Linked DNA regions of Saccharomyces cerevisiae S288C. The protein of the gene in region 2 interacts with the protein of the main gene of each other region in a pairwise test. Each region holds a gene or a part of one and is shown on either strand. Other genes may lie near its edges. The genes, in order: SPB1, RRP14, BRX1 and NOP4.

Region 1 (7,160 bases), on a different chromosome or scaffold from region 2:
AGAGCTGAATCATCTACATCAATGGCCTGTTCAGATACACAAAGGGAAGGCCGCAGTGGGGATAATAGTGCTGTTGGAAGCTTTTGCTCATAATATTCATTTTTCGATTCTGGTTCAATTAAGGAGTCCTCTTCTTCTTTAATCATAGAGTTAGAACCGGCTGCACAATTGCCCTTATCTACCATAACCTCCAAATCAGGAGGAGCGGATTCAGATCTTCTATGTGATTTAAATGACCTAGGCCTTGTCTTCAACGCATCGTCAAGGTTAATAATGGCATCTGGGACGCCTTTAACTGGCGATGAAAAACTTGGCTCTTCACTAATGAAAAATCGTGGACTTGGTGTTTGCAGATTGTTCTTTGGTGATAACGGATAAAATCTTGGTTCAGGCAAATCTAACGTTCCAGCGTCTTCATTGGTTTTGCAAGGAAATCTATTGTAGCGTATTGGCGATAATGTACTTGATACAGCAGTTGGGGCAGTTGAAGGACAATTTTCAGCCGCCTGTGGAGGTGGTAAATTCACAATTGCTGCAGGCTGTTTCAAAAAATCAAAATCTCCTGATATTGCTAGCGATCTGCGATGGCGGTGACCTCTTTTGGATGGTGTAGACAAAGTATTTACAGGATTTGGCTCTGATATTTGCACATGTTGAGTATGCGTATTGGGCATTTTCCTATTCTGAGAAGGAGTATGAAATAATTGCCGAGGGTTCAGAATGCTCTTTTAGAAATAAAAATGAATGTAAATAGTTGGAATGTATCTTTAAGTAGACAAATGCAGGTAAGTTTTAGTGGCCTTTGCGGATTAACAGTATGCTCTTAGTGCAAAACACGAAAAGAGCTCCCAATCTTTGAACACAATCGACCACGGAGGAACAATACACGTAGAAGGGGATAACTAAAACTTTGTCGTGCAAGAGTATTGGAGGACACACTAACAGCAGAACTTTGCCTTCTTAACTCTTGTTTATGATTGCTTGAAGTATTACACATGTAATAAAAGATGATTATTTTTTTTTTCCTAAAAAAAGTTCCTTTCTTTGAAGATCCCCCTGATAAAAAAGATCAAATAATGGAAACGCTAATCATAATCAAATCGGGAGGAGAATAAACGCAAGAAGTGTGCGTTTCTAGCTGAGTAATGGTGACAAGACATAGAGTGACTGTACTCTACAATGCCCCTGAGGATATCGGTAATCATATGCGCCAAAATGACACTCATTTGACTGTTCGTGGAGGTTCTGGTGTGGTTTTACAACAAAGGTGGCTATTAGAGAGGACTGGAAGCTTGGATAAATCCTTTACGAGAATCACTTGGAGGCCCAGAGCGGACTTGGCTAGAAGTTTAAGCGTTATAGAAAATGAACTGAGTGCTGGCTTTTCAGTTTACTCAAATTCTTCGGATGTGCCGGAAAGGTTTATTACTAACCCAGTCTACAATTCATTTCACAGTGAGAAGTTTGACATAGAGCAGTACTTGCCTCCCGAAGTAGATTTGAATCTGTCATGGAATCCAGAAGATTTTACATATGATATATCAGTGGAGCCCACACAAATCCAAATTGTTGAATATCGTCTGTTGAAACAGGGTGAAGAATTTACAATTGCAAGAGTGAAAGATGAGAAACTCGAAGTAGGTGTATTCTTTGTGGATGCAAGTGATGAAAGTGATGTCGATATTGGTGGAATACGTTGTAATTGGAGGATGGACGATGGTAAAATGGAAAGATGTCAGAAAACATCCTTATTGTATAAACAGGGCCATATCGCATACAATCACTCGACGACTACGACATCACTATATCTGAATGAACCTATCGGTTTGCATCCAAAAATCATGATTGATCTCACAGATTTCGAAGAACGCCCTAAATGCATGTATCTAATGCACCTGCAATTGCCGTTAGAATTATTTATCGATAAATTCCAATCCTCTCCCTTACTACTTTTTGGAGAAGACGACTTAGAATTACCAGAATACTCTCTTCGAGATAAGGCATGGGGTTCTGAAAGTATCTTTGAATTGAAAGCCGGCACAATGAATGAAGTGACATTGCATACTAGATATATTGAGCCTTCTAATAATAAAGGGGATAAATTAGAAGTTTCATTTGATCCAGAAGTTATATTAGCCTGCGACACAGGTGACAATAAAGTTTCCCGTAATCCATTTTATAAAAAAGGTCTAGGATATGAATCTCTCTTTACAGACGATACTACATTCCGCCATTTGAACTCGACAACTCTTCTAGTACCAATTCCAAGGCCTGACACAAAGGATTATTCCAAGATCAAAAATGGTACGTTACTATGCTTACTCATCTCCATCATATACATTTTCTCCAAGGTATTTGGTAACAACAAGAAGAAAAGATCAGTAAAACGGGAATAAAAATTGTTCTACTGTGCACTCGTATTTTCTGAATTCAAAACGATAGGTTTCCTATAAGTTTTTTGATGATAATTTGATTAATTCTATGTATACATAATATATCTATTGCTTTCTTTTCCTTTATTTTCAATATTATACAAGGGAATGGAAAAATAATGCTCTTTGTTACTACTTTTTCTTGTGATGCTTCTTTGCGATACGTCTTAGGGCTCTTTGTTCATTCTTCATGACACCATCAACCATCTTATACTTACCCTTAACGCCCTTTGGTCTACCTGCCAAACCTTTGTTCCTACCTGAGGCAACAACCAAAGTAACCTTTGGCTTGGTCTTTGGTTTTTTGGTAACCTTACGCATCAATCTAGAAATTTCTTCAGCCTTGTCCTTCTCTGTCTTGTCTGAATCATCGTTAATCAAGCCCGCCTTCTTCTTGATCTTTTCTAACCGAGCTACGGCACGCATCCTCTTTCTTGCCTTAGCTTCAGCAACCTTCTTAATAGGACGGGCGTTCATTGCCTTTATTTTTTCTTTAATTGCCATCGCTGCCTCCTTAGTAATCGGCTTATTTATCTTTGAATGTTCCTTTTCATCTTCTAAAAACCAATCTGGCAAATTTTCGGTGTCACGGAAGGTGTATCTATTGAAACCTTCATCAACAAGATCATGCTTGTTTTTCTGACCCAATGCTAACTGATGTGCCAAAGTCATGGCTTCAACAGTAGCAATATCAATGTCTCTGGAATGCTTTTCTTTCTTTGTTTGATTTTTTTCTTCCTCTGAATCATAATCAGAATCGAATTCTTCTGATGCATTATCGTTGGCCACAATTTCGAAATCGGAGTCATCACTTGAACTCTCATCCGAAGAATCTGCTTCATCTTGTTTCTGGTGCATTTCTTCATGTTTTCTTTTCTTATTTAATTTAGAAATATCACCAACAGACTCGGAACTCATTATGCCATCATTGACGGTATTTACTGGCAAATCAGGTTCAACGTTATTAAATATCGGATCATTGAAAATCATACGTGCCTTACTACTCAATTTGTGATCACCTTCTTGTCCCTTCAATTTGCTAATCAAATTGGTGATGGCTTCATCATCATCGGAGTCTCCTTCGACACCTTCATCGTCATTGTCTTCGATATAATCTTTACCTTCCTCTTCTTTCTTTTCTAGACTTCCCTCATTAAAACCGGTCCATTCTTCCTCATTATCGCCACCACGTGCTTGCTTAGCTCTAAACTTGGCATCCCTTTCCGACCTTCTAGTTTTATAATCACTATACATGGCATTCAACTCGCTTTCTAAATCGTCCGCATCAGCGGCAGAATCCTTATCTTTGATCATGATGTTTTCATCAATGTAAATATCATTATCTTTGGCTAATTCATCGTCTGTAAAAATCATTCTTTTCTTACCCTTCGCCAAGTCGTTCAAGATACCAGTCTTTTCTGCAGTTTTCAAATTAAACAACGATTCTTTACCCAAACTTGCGGCTTCAATACCAATATCAGTGGGGGTTATCATGTTCATTTGCATTCTCTGTAGTTCCTTTTGCTTCATTTCGTTCTTCCTTCTTCTTTCGCGCTTGACATTTAGACGCTGCTTCTCCTGTAAACCTTGCAAATCTTTTTCAATTTGCTCCTCTTCTGTTAACGGTACTACTTCAATTTCTGTTTTAGCGTCGTCCTTAACTTCGATGCCCAAGATTTCCCTTGCAATCTTTCTCCATCTTAGGATCATTTTAAAATCCTTTTTACCCAAGACTTTTAAATCTTCAATACAGGAACGGAACTCGTCTGTGGTTTGTTTCAATTTCTTCAAGATCTTCCATTCATGGTCATTCTCATCAATTGTAAACTTATTCATTTCTCCAAGCATGCTTATTGGGTCTTCCGTCCTGACAAAATCCAAAATTGAGGTTTCATGATACAGTAAATTATCACCTTCCTCATAACCTTGTCTTTTTCTAACTTTTTTTTCGGGATTATAAATCTTGGACTCCATATTCTGTTGCCCATCTGGCAATTCTTCAAAAACTTCTTTTGGATCCAGTAATCTTGGGTCCAGCCTCTTTGGTGCCTTGAAACCTTTACACACTACAAAAATTTCTGCAGAAACATTTCTTGATGCGGGTGGTTTTGTGGCTTCAACTTTCTCAAACAATTGTTGGAAAACCCAAATCAATTTATTATAATCCTTGGATCTGAAAATTTTAGTAACAAAAGTACCGTTCACCACCAAATTTTCGACGGCCAACTTCAAAGCTTGTAAGGTTAATTGAGATTGGGTGAAAGCATCCTGAACCCAACCCAAACCAACATTAGGAGCACCATCATGCAACACTGTATCAGCTTTCCAAGTCTTCATATAACCCCTCAATTTTGATCTACAATCTTCTGTTGTAATATCACTTTGAAAAGTTATAACATTGGGCATCGGCTTCATTGGAACAATATCAACACCAATAATTAAGGAGTTGACAGGACAGAGTTTGGATGCAACTTGACACCATGAACCAGGAGCAGCACACAGATCAATAACAACCTTCGATTTTTCTAAGAAGTGGCCATACTTTTCATTAATCTGAATAATCTTAAAGGATGAACGAGCACGATAACCTTTCTCCTTTGCTAGATAATAGTATCTATCTAAACGTCCCTTACTATTCTTCTTTTGTGTCTTACCCATTTTTGCCAATCACCTCTATTGAGTTAAATCTAACTACAAACTGAAGCAGAATGAGTATTGAAAGAATCTAAACTTAAACTAACTACTATACTATTATTGCCAATTTTTCATAATGGGCATCGCAAAAAATTTTTCAGACAAAAAGAAACAAGCTGGGTAACCCGCTTTTGCGGTTTTAGTATACTGGAGGAGATTAAAATTAGACAAAAGAATAATAACGTAAGGTGAAAAATGTTTAAACTCAATAGTGTGAGGTTTACGTGGCTATATATACGCAATATATACACTTTAATCCAAATTATCCCTCCCACCTGCTTGCTACTCTTTTGAGATTTATCTTAACGAGCTAAACAGACAGACTTCGGAAGTTCAAGCTGTCCAGAACTCCTTTATAGAGCCAAAAAAAGTAATGCTTTCGATTATTTCTGGTTCTAGAAATTTTTCAATACCCTTTAGTAGTCTTCTTTGCGCCGGATTGCTGGACAAATAGAATTTCTTCTTGACTTAACTATAAAAACAAAAATCTTCTGTCGTATCATAGCTACATGCTGTAGTTTTCGATTAAATACATGCTGCAGTTTTCGATTAAATGCTAATTTTTGTATCCAATATATAGCTATTCATCAATTGAAATATTCATTTTATAAGTAAGATTGAAAAAAAAAAAGAAAACCACAAAGAGGAGCAGAAACGTGGCAATCTAAAGAAAAAAAAGCACCATCTTGCAAACACTAGCACATTTGATAATCATAGAGAACAAAAATAATTCAAAGGTGTGCTTGTAAGTCTTTAAACGCGCCTTTTTCTTTATTTGTCGAGAATCGTGTAAATTTCCCAATACAGTAATTACACGATCCACGCTGTCCCAAAAAAGTTCAAAAAATTTTTCGTGCTTTTCCTTTATTGAAAATCATTTAGTCCAGTTTCATTCTGTGTTCTGTGTTTCTTCGACTTTGAGATTTCTATTGAAGTAGTTATTTATTTACAAAATTTATTGTATTTACACTTATTATAAATTTTCTGTCATCTCGACTTAGTACACCTGGCGCTGGTTGTTATTGGCAATATAATAGACAATATTATCTCATCAATACAACAAATTAAACTCCAGAAGTCACATAAAGTATACAATTAGTCTTGAAGCATCTGATTTTGAAATCTTTTTGGTATCAATTAACGTGCCGGAATACTGTTTGCACGAAGGAATCAAAGATAGGTACTGTGTGCGTCAACAGAACTTAAGCACTAGTGATTTATATTAAAAAAACCAAACAATTAGAACAATTAATTAACAGTGACTTTGAAATTCAGAACTATATTTACGTCGTCTGCAATTAGAATTAAAAGGAAATCAAAAATTCAGATACAAAGTTCATGGCATCTGCTTTGACATATTTGTTATAATTGTGTAAAAGGGCACAGTCAATGAGTAGTAGATAGTAAAGCCTAAATAATTATATGTAGCAATTGCTTCTCTTGAAATTGGGTATCATGGGTGAAAAATTATTGTGCATTTATAGCAAACCTATTAAACAGATCAATGTTTTAGTGAAAATTATGTCACTGGACAATACAAATCTTTGGAAACCGTCCCTAGAATTTGGAATTGGATAATTTAACTCTTTAGAATATAACATCTACCGAAGTACAACAATATCCATTTTATTAACGAAAGTACTGCTACAATGAAAGTATGGGTTATTATTACCTACGAATTTTAATCCTGTTTCCCTAATACTGTAGTCCCATTTTCCTTCTTTTTCCTAGTGAAAAATACATGCCTTGTTTCTGAGTTTTAGAGAATTACCTGCTGCAAAGTAGTAATTCGTTCACCATCAAAGAGTCCTTAATTTTCATTGTTTCGTAAATTCTCAAACAAATTTACAAAGTTTTCAATGGCTTGCAAATATTGTTTTGTTTATTAAACATTTACAAACTTAAATAAACAAACCAACAAATAAATAAACAAATCAACAAATAAATAAACAAATAAATAAACAAAAAACTATGATAAAATATTTCTAAAAATCTAATTGGAAAACAAAAAACTATCCAAAACCCTGGGCAAAA
Region 2 (4,595 bases):
TAAAATTCATTCCAGTTCGGGTAACATACACCGTTTATGACTGACGCTTCTCTTTACGGAAAATTGTTTTTTTCGCTATTGTTGCAAAAGTACAATGGAAAATGCCCCACTGAAACATGAAATAAGAAGAGAAGAATCAAGTTTATGCAAAATATTGTTAGAGTAACCGCAGCAGATTGTGATACTCAATTAGAGAGATTATTACAATATATATATATATAATGATTACATGGACGTTAATCGTTACATAGAATTAAACCACGCGTAAGTATGGGGTAATCATGAAGTAGACTTCAGGGTTTTTTTCTTTTTTCTTTTGAAAATTCGTTTTGTTTGACTCTTATGTATATTGGGAAGAAAATATGGAAGAAGAGTTATTGAGATTATTTCAAAACCTTACCGTCAACAATTTCCTTATCTTCGCCATTGACAACAACAGGCTTATCCCAAGCCCACATGTTGTTGACAAATTCTTTGTCTTCTTCCTTGGTTGGGTCCAACTTGGTGTATTCGTAAGATTCCCAGTCTGGAGCGACATCAAAGGCTGGAGCGAAATCTTGGCCTCTGACCATAACGGCACCAACAATACCATTATTGTTGTTTTCACCATAGACAACTAAACAACCGAACATGTACTTAGTAGAAGCGGACAATCTGTTGAAAAAACCACCGACCAAGTTGTTGGACATGAAAGTCAAGGTAAGTTCGTCGTTGTATTTGTAACCAACCTTCCAGATGGAGTATTCTTCAGGGTTGTAGTGTTCCCAGAACCATGGCAAAGCAACTGGTCTGGTGTCGTCGTTGGAGTACTTTCTCTTCCAGTCATCCAAGACAAATGTGGACTTTCCTAAAGCTTCCAATGGGTGCTTTGGCTTTTTAGCTGGAGCAGCATCATCTGCTGGCTTAGCTTCGTCCTTCTTCTTTTCAGCCTTTGACTTTTCGGCCTTTGGCTTTTCAGCCTTTTGCTTCTTTGGTGGAGTGTAGGTTAGAGCCTTTTCAGCCAATTTGACTTCAGCAAATGGAGTCTTCACGATTGGAGAAGCAGCAACAGTGTTGAACCATCTCATCAAATGAGGATGCTTAGCTCTCCATTCAGGGCCCAAAATAGTGGCCAAACCAAAAGCCCAAGAACCAGCGGCATGAAGGTCACCTAGAGAAATGTTTTCGGTAGCAACAAAGGTGTAGTCTCTCAATCTAGCATCGAAGACAGCAGCTAGGTTGTCGATTTTAACAAAACAAGCATCAACGTCTTTCTTGTTGTATGGAATCAAACCTTTGAAAGAAAGGAATGGACGAGCAATGTTGCTCATGACATCGGAATTAGCTAGAGATGCCCATCTAAGGATTTGAGACTTTTCGATAACGTCGGAACCTAATAAGCGAGCTCTTTCTTTTTCATCGGCAACTTGATTAGCCACTAAATATACATCATCTCGATGGTTATACAACCATTAATTGAAGAAATGTTAGTAAAACAATCCTTTATATTTTTTCCTGGATTAGGACACGCTTTGTACTTCCTTTTTGTTATTTTGACTTTCATTTTTCTTTAAGAAACATATCAGAAATACAAATATCAACATATGAGAGGTTACCTATTATTACCCATTCAGACAGGGATAACTGTTTGATAAAATTTTTTTTCATCATTATGTTTCGAAGAAAAATGACGTGCCAAATAAACGAACGGGAAACGCGCAAAACAATGTATGTGGAAGTGTTAAAATAAAATATGGAACATACAATAAAATTGGATAGCCAAAGCTTCAGTTAGCTTTAAGCCCTTTGGACCCAAAAATGCAGGGGCTTGCTTCAATGGGAACAAAGAAGCAAACTCGCTAGATTGTTCTAGATCAACGATCTTGACATCTAGTTTAAAGTAAGAAATCAAAGCTTCAGAAGCGTAGTTTCTTGGAGATCTATTAATGTATAAAGTACCTTGGGACATCTTGAATCTATCGAGGGCCAAAATCAAAGAATTGAGTTGGTATTAAGGATGGACACCAGTTTTGAACAAAATTAACGACGGAATGGATGAATTAAATATGAAAAAGAAAGTATTGCAAACTGTTGATGAAAAAAATTTTTCTTTCAATTTTGTCAGCAGCAGAGCGCATTACCCTGCCGGCCACATGCCGAATTAAATTAAATGAGGGCTGCTATTGCCAAATGTGATGGCTTGCCTACAGAGGTTAATTTCCCTTGTTTTGGGCTTCCTCTCTCAACACGATTGACACAAGCAATAGAGGCAAAGGTGTGTAATGAGTTCGTGTACCAATTAAAGTAAAGTAGAGTGGTTTAATTGGGATTACACGATTAAAAAGTTTCACCCAGACACCAAATTGAAAATTTTTTAAAATGAATTCTTTTTATTCTCATCTCCGGTAAAGAAAAGAGGAAAGTACAATAAAAGAGATGAGATGACCAAGAGATGAATAACAAGTGAGGACTGAGACGTTGTTGCAAGTGATAAAGAAAGTCCGGGAATTGAAAGATATAGGAGACTGAGATGAGTAATTCACTTGAGGAGCGCCTTCGTGCTAATTCAAGCGCCTTCGATGGTTTATTGGCTTTAATTCCTGCAAAATACTATTATGATGAAAAAAGTCAAGAGCAATGGAAGGCCAAGAAGAAAACCAAAGAACAGAGTAAAAATGATAAACTGAAAAAATTAGACCCGGAGCAACGTGATGATGAAACATCTAGTACATTAGAAGTAATGAAGAAGAAGGAGAAAGACGCAAAGCCGGTGGTCCTACCTGGTGAAAAATTCAAGCACATGAAAATGCAAAAGCAAAAGGAAGCAACATCAAAAGTGGAAGGAGACTCCGACCTGAACGTAGAAGTAAACGATCCTATGATAATAGCACCAGACGAAGATGAAGAAGAGGAAGAGGATATTAAGGTGATCTTTGATGATGAGGGAAATGAAATACCATTAGAATCTAAAAAAGATACTACAGAGCCCGATAGATCTGTCGAAAAGAAGTCTATTACAGAGGAAGAGAAACTACAAAGAAAGAAAAACTTGGAAGCACTACGTTCCAAGTTACAAGCGAAAATTTCAGATATGAAGAGTAAAAGGAAAGCACCCGGTTCTAGAGAGGCTATTCTTGCTCAAAGGAAACGCAAGGAAGAGTTGAAAAAAAGAAAGCGTCTAGAAAGTGAACAGGAACAGGATCAGGATGAAATTGCGTCTGATTCCGATATGGAAGACATCGATAGTGATTTAGAAAACAATTCGAAAAAAAGATTCAAAAAAGGCAAGAAGGACTCAGAAATTAACGCAGATGGTGTAATGTTTCAAAATATCATATTCGATGATGGTGCAAGGGCCACTTCAGATTTACAAAGGTTAAGAAAAGCTGGTAGAACGAAGGGTCCGGCTAAGAATGATGTAAAATCACACTTAAAGTTATTAGAAGCCAAGAAGAATAAGATGGAGGCGAAAGACGAACTAGAACAAATCAAGCAGAAGGAAAAGGAAAAATGGCAAAAGGCTATGTTACAAGCAGAAGGAATTAAGATTAGGGATGACGAAAAACTACTTCGCAAAGCTATAAAGAGAAAGGAAGCACAAAAGAGAAAGTCTGCGATTGAATGGAGCGAACGTAAGAGGGTTGTGGAAGACACGATATCTGAAAGACAAAAGAGAAGAGAAGAGAATCTGAGGATTAGGAAAGACAACAAGGGTAAAAAGAGAAATAAGCAAGAAAAGATGAAAAGAAAGTATGTCGGTAGTGCCGTACCAAAGAAAAGAGCCGGATTTGAGGGTAGATTAAAAACAGGTAAAAAGAAGGGAGGACCTAAATAATAATCACGATAATAATAACAACAATAATAGATATATATATATGTATGAACATATATATACAGATACATATATATATATATATATCTATATATATACCATCGCATTTTTTCCTTAACGAGAAGAGCACAGCAGAGCTTAAGATGGCATGCATTTATAGAACAACACTCAACACATAGCGGGGGGAGGGTTCTGGAAATACAAATGGTAGTGCAATTTACAGCCTGGATTAAAGGGGGATCTGCAATTGGGACAAATAAGGTTTGAATTGTAGTCGTAATACTCTGCAAACGTCATTTCATGACGGCAAACTCCGCAAATAATCAAGTGTTTATTTGCATCGTCAAGGAGATCATATTTTTCTAGCGGGTGAGAACTTAACTCTTGGTGGCATTCAAAGCACGCATAGTACTTATCACAACATTTAAACCTGATGGCAATTACATCCTTTGGAAGATGCCAGTGGACACATCGAGATTGGTCATCCACTGTCTTACCATAAATGGCAGTTTCGATCATCTATATTTGCAAATTGTAAGTGGTACGTATTTTTTTTTTTATATCATATATGTATATTTAAAGAAACTCGTAAACCGAAACGTTTATTCATCATTATCATCATCATCATCATTATCATCACCATCACACCGCGCGCGCCTATTTAATCATTTTTGTTTTTCCTCGTCTACGGAAGAAAAAAAGGTGTAGGAGCAACGAATAGCATGAATTTTTCTCTAGTTGATTTTTGGCAGTTTCCTTCCTTTCAATTGGCTAAATATAACAA
Region 3 (5,531 bases), on a different chromosome or scaffold from region 2:
GTAAATTAACGGGAGGAACATCGTTATTATTTTCCTATGATTTTTTGAAATTTATTCTCCTCAAAAATCATATACTACTTTTTCTTTCAGAAATTATGGAGCTTGAAAAGGCTGCTGATATAAAAGTCTTGCGATACATGTTATTTTATCTACCTAAAAAAAAAAAAATAAAAGAAAATTGTCTATCTGCGACTGCTCTATAATGGAGATGTAATTTTTGTTCATAAATTTCTTACACTTTTTTGGATGCCTAGTAATGAATTTTTAATGTTCTTGACATTTTCAGCTTTAACATCAAGTTCTTTTAACAAGTTGCCACATTCATCTTTTTTTAATTCTTCATATGCTTGTACTAAAGCTTTAGAATAACCTTTAAATACATCATCGCAACAACTCCTCAACTCCTTGAGGGAGTTTTTGATTAGTTTTTGAATTTCTTTATCTTTGATTCTCTTCAAACTGTCTAGTGTTTTTAAGGTTGCCATTTTAGTAAGGTAAGTATGGGATACCATCCAGTTTTGTTTTGCATTTATTGGGACTTTCATCAACCTAGAAATTAAATCATGTAGATTTTTACCGTTATTTTCGTAAATTTCGAAAAAAATCAGAAATGACGCTGACTCCACTTCAGTTAAATTATTATTCAACAACTCTTCAAGGTTAATTGATGGAAGTTTTTTTAAGAGCGCACTTATTTGTTCCGTTTTCTCCCCATTTGGCAAAGCTTCAATAATAAGTTCTCTTATCAAAGTTAGAAAAATTGATTCTTCATTCAAGTTAGCATATTCCAAAATTTTACCACGGTTAAGAAATTGGGCAAAATTTTCATCTAATATGGAAAAGTCTCTATTGTCAGAAAATGATACACTTTGCGTCATTTCTAAAGATCTCCAATCTTCGTGTAATTTTTGTAGTAGGTGGCCGCGCTTGTCGTTGCATAAACGTGAGAACTGTAAGTTTTCTAAAGTTTTGGTCCATCTTGTATAGGATTTCATTAGTTTATCCCTCATCTCGAGCATTCCTAGTATTTTGCTATATGAATTTCTTTCGAATGCCACCTGAATATATCTTGGTAAATTAGCCAGTGATGTATCGTATAAATTATTATGTTCATGGAATGTCTTGGAGTAAAAATCGCTCTGTTTATTCGGGAACAAAGTAGAAAATCTCGAGAATATCATGTAATCTAGGGAATCTGTTTGAACGTTTTTAATCTTTAGGTTTATGAAATGGAAATAAGCATCGGGAACTAAACCCAGGTACATGTATAAAACAATCAGCCAGCACATAGTATCGAAGTTATGAGGGTCCTTGGCTTGGTAATTTTCCAATATCGTTATACACAAAAGCACGTCTTTCAATTCAGGATTAGTTTTCTTGCACTTGTCCTTGACTATTTCTAATAAGAATGTAGAACAGGAGGAATAATCCGTTACCGATTTTTTTTCCAGGGTCCCCTTAAACTTGTTATAGTTATTGATTGAGTCGCTTCCAATAAGTCCCAATTCTAGAATATTACAATGATGAATCAAATCCTTATCCTCTGGATCGTACTTAGACATAATGCTCTTAAGCATATCTATGTTAATGTGGCCGCTGTAATGATTCAAATCGATTGAACAACAAGGTTTGTTATGGTACTTTGATAAATAGTACGACAAAGATGATTCCGAAACCGAATCGGTGTACATTATATCAAGTTTCAAGCGCGCCAATCGAGTATTCCTTGAGTCTCCCAAATTTTCATCAATCCATTGTTTGACTTCGTCTTTAGATTTAGAAAGTTTGTAGGCAGCATCAATCAAGTTTGTGATCAATTCATAATCATCAAGGCCCTTTTCAATAAGTTTTGAACAAACTTCAAAAAGTTTTTGTGGAGAATTCAATAACTTGGTATGCTTCAAGATAAAGTTTTTCAAATACAAGTTTACTGAAGTATCAAAATTGGCAAAGGTAATCGCAACAATCTCTTCCGAGATTTCTCTAGATTGAGGGAATAGTTCATCCAACACCAAACAATAAACTATAATCTCTTGAACATTTTGAAATGGTTTCAAGTCTAACAAAGACTGGCGCGCTAGCCTGGAGAGCAAAATTTTCTTGGGATCTGAAAGAGTGTTTTCCTGAAACCTTGATACGGCTAAAATCGAGATTGCATTCCAAAAATAATATGCTCTTTTAGGCAGGTTTCCACTGTCACTGTATTTAGCTAGCTGTAGAGATGCTTTGCTCATTTGGTTATAATTGGAATCTTCCAATGCTTTCATAAACCAGTGATAAGACAATTCGTAGCTAGGGAATTTGAAATTTCCTCTTTCATACACGTGCAATGCTTCGTCGTATTTCCCTAACTCTACGAAGAAGTTGTGCAAAAACTCCAAGGAACGCGTGTCGCCCGTAATCGTTGTCCCTTTCAGCCCATATGGTTCTTCTAGCAGTTTATTGTAATCGAACTTACCAGGTGACTGCTTGAATTTAACATAGGTTTCCAAAATCTTGAAGTACAACGCATTGGGAAATTGTTTTTGCAATTGCCCCAGTTTTGCATAGCATTGTTTGAAGTTGGACCTGCTTACTAGTCCTAATATCTCCTCCTGTATCTTGTCGGACATGCTTCGATGCGATGATTGCTGTACCGAGCTCGTTATGTATCGTTGCTTCGCCAATGAATTCTGTTGCAGCTGACATTTATTATTTATTTTCCTAAAGCCCTCGGCGGTCCGTGGACAGTGATTTTCGTTAAAGGTGACTGAAAAATTTTAGATGCTCATCGCGATGGTTCTCAAAGAATCTATCACCTAAAAAGATACAGAAATTGCTATAATATTTACGAGTTAGAAGGTTACTTAGCCTTATTTTGCTTCACGTCTTTCTTTATACATTCGTCAGGTGTTGAAAGAGTTCAACCAAAGATGTCTTCTATCTACAAAGCCCTCGCAGGAAAGAGCAAAGATAATAAATCTGAAAAGAAGCAAGGCAATGTCAAGCAATTTATGAACAAGCAAAGAACTCTTCTGATTTCGAGTAGAGGTGTTAACTATAGACATCGTCATTTAATTCAAGACTTAAGCGGATTATTGCCTCATTCCAGAAAGGAGCCAAAATTGGATACTAAAAAGGATCTTCAACAGTTGAACGAAATCGCTGAGTTGTACAATTGTAATAATGTTCTATTCTTTGAGGCCAGAAAACACCAAGATTTGTATCTATGGTTATCCAAGCCGCCAAATGGGCCAACTATAAAATTTTACATTCAAAACTTGCATACTATGGATGAGTTGAATTTTACAGGTAACTGTTTAAAGGGTTCTCGTCCGGTATTGTCGTTTGATCAACGTTTCGAATCCTCCCCACACTACCAATTAATTAAGGAGTTGCTAGTGCATAATTTTGGTGTACCACCAAATGCTAGAAAATCTAAGCCATTTATTGATCACGTCATGTCCTTCAGTATTGTAGATGATAAAATATGGGTGAGGACATATGAGATCTCACACAGTACTAAGAACAAAGAAGAATATGAAGATGGCGAAGAAGACATATCATTAGTGGAAATTGGCCCTAGGTTTGTTATGACTGTCATTTTGATCCTAGAAGGTTCATTTGGTGGTCCAAAGATCTATGAAAATAAACAATATGTTTCGCCAAACGTCGTAAGAGCTCAAATTAAACAACAAGCTGCTGAGGAGGCAAAGTCTAGAGCTGAAGCTGCTGTGGAAAGAAAAATTAAGAGAAGAGAGAATGTTCTTGCCGCCGATCCTTTATCAAACGATGCCTTGTTTAAATAATAAGCATAATACTATCAGAGAGTTTTACATAACATTGTATATTAAAAAGATATAACAAGAAAAGAGTGGATGTAGCAACTGTCTAGTTATAGACCTCTTTTTAATAATTTAATGTTTAAATCTTGAATATCGAAAGCTGTATATATAAAGAATATTTATTGTATGTACAAAAGATCTTCAACCGCGCAGCAATCAAGCTATATTTACGCATCTTGCTTTTCCGAATGTTTCTTTAAGTAGTTTTCAATGAATTTTTCCTCGTCTTTGTTGTCTGTTTTGATGTCGACTGTTTTTGGCTTTGCGCTTTTAAAAGGATTTGGAACAACCAATAAACCTAGCAGTCCTAATGTCCCAATGGCTAGTTGGTGTGGAGGGATAGCTTTCCCCATGAAATGATAAGCAGCACCCATTGTCGTAGTTATAAATTATTATTTGAAGTCACCTGGCCTTATTCAATGCTAACGAGTTATGTGCTCTATGGGGGGACTTGCTCCTAAAAAGCTCTTTTTTTTCCCTTTGCATCGAGAAGCGGACTCTGACCAATCACCATCGAGATCGCGATGAAGTATTTTCTATACCATATTTAGATATAAACCAAAATTAATGCTGGTAAGATGCAGTATAATGGGTTTTACTTATTTATGATTCATTCTATAAGCGCTTAATAAGTTTTGTAATCGCGTCACGATCTCAGTACACTCTTGACCTGAAACTGCTTCAAAGTAGTACCTTTTGATATCATCTTGCCCCTCTCTTCTTACGAAAATTTTGAAATGCTCAGGGACTCTTTTGGATTTTTTGACAAGAACCACTTGACTAATGTGTAACGACTTAGTCTTTACATTATCATGCCAATGTATACGTCCCTCCGGGGGTACAATGTATATGTAGTCGCCATCAATGGCTAGTGTTCTTTCATGCTTGTTTATAAATGACATTTGCTGCCTTCTCCATACCTTATATTTATGATACGCTCCGGTAAAAAGATCTTGGAAGTTATCTCCAACTCCATTTGGAGTGTCAGGCGTGTGCTCCATCGTACTCTGAGAACGGTTTATATTATGAAACTGCAGTGTCCCATGCAAAGAGGATTTGGATGAATTCTTGTTCTTGAAAAACCCATTTCCATTGGCGAGACCGCCAGCCGTTGAAACACTTCCACTAGCAACACTTGATGACGAATGCTGCTTTGCCAAGCCCAGCTTATACTTCGTGGATATCTTCTTAGCTTTGGATGTAACTTTCGTGTTTTCAGGAATGGCAGCCACAGCCCCTCCAGCATCTGCTTTGAGATAAGAGTTCAGAGGCTCCAAAGTTAACGGAGTTAGATCATTACTTTGGATCGTTGGCAAAACGGGCTTCTTTAGGTCAGGTTTCATTTTTTCCAAATGCAACTCCCTTGCATCTTTTTTAGAGATGAGTTCCACCTTATTAATACCATCGAGCCTTAATACCGTATCATTCAAGTCCAGTATATAGTTCTTTCCTAGAACTTTTAATGCATATTCATTAGGATCCATATTTTTCATTTTGCAATATTTTACCAAAATATCGTTTATATGTGAGGTCACTAAAACACTTATGGTAGTATAGTTAAATTTGGGATTCACGTTAGGATACAAATATACTGTTACATCAATGATTTTCGAACCGTTTGTCTTATCGATGTCGTCTTCATTACCTATAATAGGTTTGTAGAAACTTAGTTGGTTGATGGTTCCGTCAGTTGTATCGTGACTGCTG
Region 4 (6,467 bases), on a different chromosome or scaffold from region 2:
AATGGCAAGGATAGAGCACAAAACTCCTATCAGCCAATGTACCAAAGGCCTATGCAGGTACAAGGACAACAGCAAGCTCAATCGTTCGTTGGAAAGAAAAACACAATCGGAAGTGTGCATGGAAAAGCCCCGATGCTAATGGCCAATAATGATGTTTTTACTATTGGACCTTATAGGGCAAGAAAAGATAGAATGCGGGTATCTGTCTTAGAAAAGTACGAAGTTATTGGCTACATTGCTGCGGGCACATATGGTAAAGTTTACAAAGCGAAAAGACAAATCAACTCCGGTACCAATTCCGCTAATGGTTCTAGTCTGAATGGTACCAATGCGAAAATTCCGCAGTTTGACAGCACGCAACCAAAATCAAGCTCTTCAATGGACATGCAGGCAAATACAAACGCATTAAGAAGAAACTTGTTAAAGGATGAAGGAGTGACCCCCGGAAGAATACGAACTACGAGGGAAGATGTATCCCCGCACTATAATTCCCAAAAACAAACCCTCATTAAAAAACCGCTGACGGTATTTTATGCCATTAAAAAGTTCAAGACAGAGAAGGATGGCGTCGAACAATTGCATTATACGGGAATATCTCAGAGTGCCTGTAGAGAAATGGCATTATGTCGAGAATTGCACAACAAGCATTTAACCACATTAGTGGAAATTTTTTTGGAAAGGAAATGTGTCCATATGGTATACGAATATGCGGAGCATGATCTGCTACAAATTATCCACTTCCATTCCCATCCCGAAAAAAGGATGATACCACCAAGAATGGTTCGGTCTATTATGTGGCAGCTTTTAGACGGCGTATCGTATCTTCATCAAAATTGGGTGCTTCATCGAGATTTGAAACCCGCAAATATAATGGTGACCATAGATGGATGTGTTAAAATTGGTGATTTAGGTTTGGCCAGAAAATTTCATAATATGCTGCAAACCCTCTATACTGGGGATAAAGTGGTTGTCACTATATGGTACCGTGCACCTGAGTTGCTATTGGGAGCACGGCACTATACCCCTGCGGTTGATTTATGGTCCGTTGGCTGCATTTTTGCAGAACTGATAGGATTACAGCCCATATTTAAAGGTGAAGAAGCTAAACTAGACTCTAAAAAGACTGTTCCATTTCAAGTGAATCAACTACAGAGAATTTTGGAAGTTCTTGGCACTCCCGATCAAAAAATTTGGCCTTATTTGGAGAAGTATCCAGAATATGATCAAATTACGAAGTTTCCAAAGTATAGGGATAACCTTGCTACATGGTATCATTCCGCGGGAGGAAGGGACAAGCATGCTTTAAGCTTACTTTACCACTTGTTAAATTATGATCCAATTAAAAGAATAGATGCATTTAATGCGTTGGAACATAAGTACTTCACAGAAAGTGATATTCCTGTTAGTGAAAATGTATTTGAAGGTCTAACTTACAAATACCCGGCAAGAAGAATTCACACGAACGATAATGACATCATGAATCTTGGATCAAGAACGAAAAACAATACACAAGCTTCAGGAATCACCGCAGGTGCCGCTGCAAATGCGTTAGGTGGGCTTGGTGTTAACCGTAGAATTCTGGCCGCGGCAGCAGCAGCCGCTGCTGCGGTGTCAGGAAACAATGCATCAGATGAGCCATCTCGAAAGAAAAACAGAAGATAGGCTTCTATTTTTATATATATTTGGAATTTTTCATTCCACAGCACTGTCACTATTATATTCATTAAACTTTTTTTTATCTTTATAGTATTTAAATCGGCATACAGTTTCAATTTTTCGCTTTAGAGGCACTAAGAATGCAAGTCTGCAACATTCAGGTAAAATAATGGGTTGATTTTAGGTCGAGCTAAAACCCTGTTCTCCGCAGATGTATGCGAATTTCGTCATAATTCATCTCAACTAATGGGGCTTTAAAACATATGAATATCTCATGCATTCCCAAAAAAGAAGAAAGAAAAGACTTCAAGTACCCCCCTTAATTTTTATATAATGGTAGTAGTAGGTTTGTTCGTAACTTATCGGCAATAGTAATATGTTCCCATTATAACACATCTGTTAATGGTATTCAGGTTAATAACCATAGCAAAAAATATAAACAACTTTGTACATTTTCCATAAAAAAGAATGACTTTACGAAAACATTGGATGAAACAACCAGTTCATCCCGTTCAAAGTCTAAACTACGTATAAAGTAGAGTTATCATCGGTTAACAAAGTACATTGTGTAGTATGTAGAAGGGCTGAAACCATCAAGAAAAGGAGGGACACGCTCATACAAAGGAGAAGTCATGAATTCTAAATGTATCTAATAAGATACGTGAATTCAGCATCACCTAGTTATTAATGACCAGCCGAACCTAAAAGTCATTGCACAAACAATGTAGAAACATAGCTAATTTTACATACTTTTATTTGCGGTCTACTTATAACCATTATGTATATCATGGGAAATAAATAATTCTCGTCTTGCCTATTACTTCAAACGGAACGTCTAGGAGCGATACTGGTAATAAGGTTTCAGTATGATTTACTGAGATGCTGGACAGTATATGTAGAGAGTTTCTCGCGCTTCTCGTAAAACAGTACTAAAATAACGACATAAAAGCTTTCGAGTACGTTAGAGATTCATCTATCTACTCTTTGAAAAATAATGTACATACGTAAAGAGAATACAAATCGAAATTCCTATAAATATGGTTCTACCTCTATTTTTTTGCGTGCTTTCTCTTACGCTTGAACCCGATTATTCTCTTTATATCATCGCCCATCTTTTTGTCATCGGGATTGGTGGGCGTCGTTGCTTCTTCTTTTTTTGGCTTCTTATTCTCGGATTCTCCGACATCTCCAGTATCTTCATTATCTGGTCTTGTTCTCTTGGTTCTTGCTTGCTTCAATTGTTCCCTTCTTCTCTTTACGACGTTAGAGTTCTCAATCGCAAATTCAACACAAAGACGTCTTCCTTTGCCTAAGTCATTGTCTACTTGTTTCTTTTCATCATCATTCAAACCCTCTAAAATTTCATCGGAGGTAACGGCATGACAATTCAACCACCTTAAGCCCATCAAAGCGTTTTTATGATCTCTGAATTCTACAAAACCGTAACCTCTACTTCTTCCCGCAGTTGATCCTTTAACTTCCATTATAACTTTTGCTTGCTTGACAACACCACTTTTTTTGTCTTTCTTTTTTTGAGCTTCAATCTCATCTGGACCCATGAACTTGTATTTTTCCTTTGTAGATCTGATAATCTCTTCTTTACTCAATGGATGTCTTTCCTTATTTTTAACTTCTGTAGCAAATTCCACGACAGCTTTACGAGCTAACGCCTTTAATGCTTTATCATTCATTGCTCTAGGAAGATTTCTGATAGCCAACCTAGTCATCGACAAATGCAAAGATGGGTTCTTTTTCAGTTGCTCCACTCTTAATTTGTAAGATTTTTCTCTGATCTCCATGTCAGTGTTGGTTAACAAATCAGCCATTTTTGAGCCTTCAACAACTCTACCTTCATTCAGCAAATATAAGTTACGTCTATCTTTTTCGCCTGGCGCTTTACCTAGGGCCTCCTTTCTTTTGGCGGCGTTCTTTTCTGCCATTCTTCCAGCATCCTCTCTTACTAACGTTGGAGTAATGGACAGAACACGACCTTCATACACATACTCAGGCATGACATCATCACCTATCAATAAAGAGGTAGAGCCAGCCGCAGGCGCATTTTTGATACACTCGTTATATGTATATTGGTCTTTGAAGGCTACAAAGGCCGTACCTTTAGCCAACCCCGTAGACTTATCGATAACAGGTAATGCGTATTTAACGCTGCCAAATTTACTGAAGTGCGGAGCCAAAGATTCTTCAGTGGCATCATAAGGGACGTTACGAACAAAAACAGAAAAATCTTCCCTTTTGTTTTGTGCTTTACGTTTCGATTCTTTGTTTTTTGAAGCTTGATCTACTTGTCTATCTTCCTCTTCATTTTCATCTTCTTCGTCGTCATGGTTTTCTTCAGCATCTTCATTTCCTGACTCGTTATCATCTTTGTCATTCATTTCTGGCTGGGCTTTTTTGTAATCTTCCCATCTGTTTTTTTGAACAGCAAAATCAACAGCCACCTTTCTACCATCAATTTTCAAGTCTTTGGTGTTTTCCAAAGCAATTCTACAATTACTGATTTTCTTCATAGTAACAAACGCAAATCCACACAATTTACCATCACGCTTCCTTGGAATGGTAGCCTCCACGACGGTACCATATCTACCAAAGATCTTTTTCAATTTAACTGGATCACGACAACTCCATGGCATATTTCTGATAATTAATTTCGGTTTACCTTTTAGCATGGAGTCTTCACCATCAGCATCGTCCTCATCTTCATTGTTCTGGCCCGTTATTTTCTCAGATGACTCAGGTGTGCTCTTTTCAACCACTTCTGATGTTTTCTTTGAACGATCTCTTCTTTTAGCAATGTCTACCCTCAAGATATGTCCGTTAAATTTGGTCTTTCTGGCCTTAGCTAGGGCTTCTTTTGTGTCATCCTCTACAGCAAAACTAACGAACCCGAAGCCCCTGGACCTTTTATTCGTGTCCTTAACAACTACCGCATGCTTGATCGGAGCAAAATTGGAAAAGAAATCTGCCAGCTGCTCATCTGTGACATCCTGGGGTATAGACCTCACAAACAAAGTCTTCATATCTAGGCCGTCGTCATTTTGTTTTGAGACATTACTAGAAGGCACTTCAACATTTTCTATTGTTTCTTCCATCTCACTTTGGTAGATTGGTAATATTGATAGCTTTTCACTAGTTCACGAAGAAATCTCACTATTTTACTAATAAAAAGATTTTGTATGTAGTATTTAATTCAGAATAAACGATGAGATGAGATAGACTCTTGAAATTTTTCAGTGAAAATTATTTTTTTTTTCCTTCGCCGTTCCATGGGTAACCCTATAGGGAGCCAACATATATAACCGCACAAACGTAATGGCAGCATTTAATTATTTGATATGCGGCTAGATATCCACAACGTCTATAAATTATGAGTTCTATATCCTGCTCATAGTTTCATTTGCTAATGCCTTTAATTCCGGCTCATTAGGTGGTATAATATTATATATCTCCTTTAAGCCTGGAATGTCTTTTTCCTTTCCTGCTAGTTGAATTGCATCACGAAAACCCCTGCACTCCACATAAAGCTTTTTCTTTTCCTGATACGAAAGGCCAGGTATCATATTAACATAAGGACTAGCTTTATCCATATGGCCTCTGCTTTTTAAGTATGTGTAGAAAGGCATGTAACCAATTGGTGATTTCCGCGACTGAGCAAACTGTAGTAGTTCGTCAAACTTCTTAGCTTCGACTAACGTTTTACATTTCAGGTGATACAGCTTTTTTTCGCTTATTTTGAACTTTTTAACTATTTCTTTCACCTGTTTATCTTGCCCTGTTTCTATTAACTTCGAAAGCGTTTGATCTAAAGTCATATTAGTGAATGATATAGCAAATCTTTTGCCTAATGATTCTTGGTATATCCACAACTTTTCCTGTCTTTGAAGTTGTTCTATTGTATTGTTGACCACTTCACTGTTTTGAACTTGGCTATAAAGGTCCTTAATTTGCGGTAAAAAGCTGTGTAAAGATTGCTGTTCTTTTCCCTGCTGCAGTAATACGTGAGCCAAGTCAATAAATCGGTCAGTTTGGCGGTAAAAATCGTACAAGTATGCTTTATCCATTCTCATATAATAGAGATATAAGGGATTGTTGAACATATCAATGATCAAAAGCTTCGTCAGTTGAGAGTTTGTCAGCTTTTTGGAAAGTGCAATCAGTAATGAAATTGTCAGACTGTAATTTTGTACTTTGATACACTCCTTTAGCGCTATACTATCATCATCAAGATTATACAGTTGCTCAATTCTAGCTTCTTCGTTTTTCTCTAATAAAGCTAAATTACGGGATAACTGGAACCTTCCTTCAAGATATGCAACTTTCGCAACTGCTACCATTTGTAATGTATCCGTCATATCTATAACACTTAGTCGAGATTTGATTTTGTCTAGTAACTCATCATCTTCCATGTCAGGACTACCCTTGATTTTATCCTTTGCCCACTCAGTAAACACGTATCCTAACAGAAATCGTTCATTGGCCAATTTGCATATCTGTATGCACTCATAATATCTGTGATACTTCAACAGCCTATCAATGACACCTTTCAAAGAAATACACCTGTATTCCTCCACAGTCAAAAAAATACCAAAACTTCTGAAGCAGTTTAATAATTTTATCGTATTACACGCATTCACAAATATACTAGCGTCAAATGACTTGTACTGCAAAGAAGCTTTTCCATAAGATGCAGCGTTCAACAACATCTTCTGTAGTTTAGGTTCAAATTCGTCTATTGCAGCAGCAATACAGTCCAGTACACCCTTCTCTAAGACAAAATTCTTTAATATTTCAATTGC

Evidence for each region.
Region 1: the proteins of RRP14 (region 2) and SPB1 interact in binary tests that used the Saccharomyces cerevisiae proteins (3 or more experiments, as listed by UniProt).
Region 3: the proteins of RRP14 (region 2) and BRX1 interact in a two-hybrid assay, tested with the Saccharomyces cerevisiae proteins (one study listed by BioGRID).
Region 4: the proteins of RRP14 (region 2) and NOP4 interact in binary tests that used the Saccharomyces cerevisiae proteins (3 or more experiments, as listed by UniProt).

Annotation. Positions count from the first base shown.
Region 1 is NC_001135.5:29,379-36,538, reverse strand, and holds SPB1 (27S pre-rRNA (guanosine2922-2'-O)-methyltransferase), read right to left. Parts: upstream 5,091-7,160; coding exon 2,565-5,090; downstream 1-2,564. Other genes in the region: LRE1 (Lre1p), read right to left, coding at 1-674; PBN1 (Pbn1p), read left to right, coding at 1,146-2,396; RDT1 (Rdt1p), read right to left, coding at 5,543-5,629. UniProt on the Saccharomyces cerevisiae protein: Required for proper assembly of pre-ribosomal particles during the biogenesis of the 60S ribosomal subunit. Specifically methylates the guanosine in position 2922 of the 25S rRNA at the stage of 27S pre-rRNA maturation.
Region 2 is NC_001143.9:280,244-284,838, reverse strand, and holds RRP14 (ribosome biosynthesis protein RRP14), read left to right. Parts: upstream 1-2,509; coding exon 2,510-3,814; downstream 3,815-4,595. Other genes in the region: TEF4 (translation elongation factor EF1B gamma), read right to left, coding at 384-1,417, 1,744-1,948; HOT13 (Hot13p), read right to left, coding at 3,980-4,330. UniProt on the Saccharomyces cerevisiae protein: Involved in ribosome biogenesis and cell polarity. Required for the synthesis of both 40S and 60S ribosomal subunits and may also play some direct role in correct positioning of the mitotic spindle during mitosis.
Region 3 is NC_001147.6:184,105-189,635, reverse strand, and holds BRX1 (ribosome biogenesis protein BRX1), read left to right. Parts: upstream 1-2,912; coding exon 2,913-3,788; downstream 3,789-5,531. Other genes in the region: MDM20 (Mdm20p), read right to left, coding at 222-2,612; ATP19 (F1F0 ATP synthase subunit k), read right to left, coding at 3,992-4,198; AVO1 (Avo1p), read right to left, coding at 4,424-5,531. UniProt on the Saccharomyces cerevisiae protein: Required for biogenesis of the 60S ribosomal subunit.
Region 4 is NC_001148.4:468,235-474,701, reverse strand, and holds NOP4 (mRNA-binding ribosome biosynthesis protein NOP4), read right to left. Parts: upstream 4,764-6,467; coding exon 2,706-4,763; downstream 1-2,705. Other genes in the region: cyclin-dependent serine/threonine protein kinase SSN3, read left to right, coding at 1-1,662; tethering complex subunit VPS16, read right to left, coding at 5,046-6,467. UniProt on the Saccharomyces cerevisiae protein: Required for 60S ribosomal subunit synthesis. Probably involved in the processing of 27S rRNA to produce mature 25S rRNA.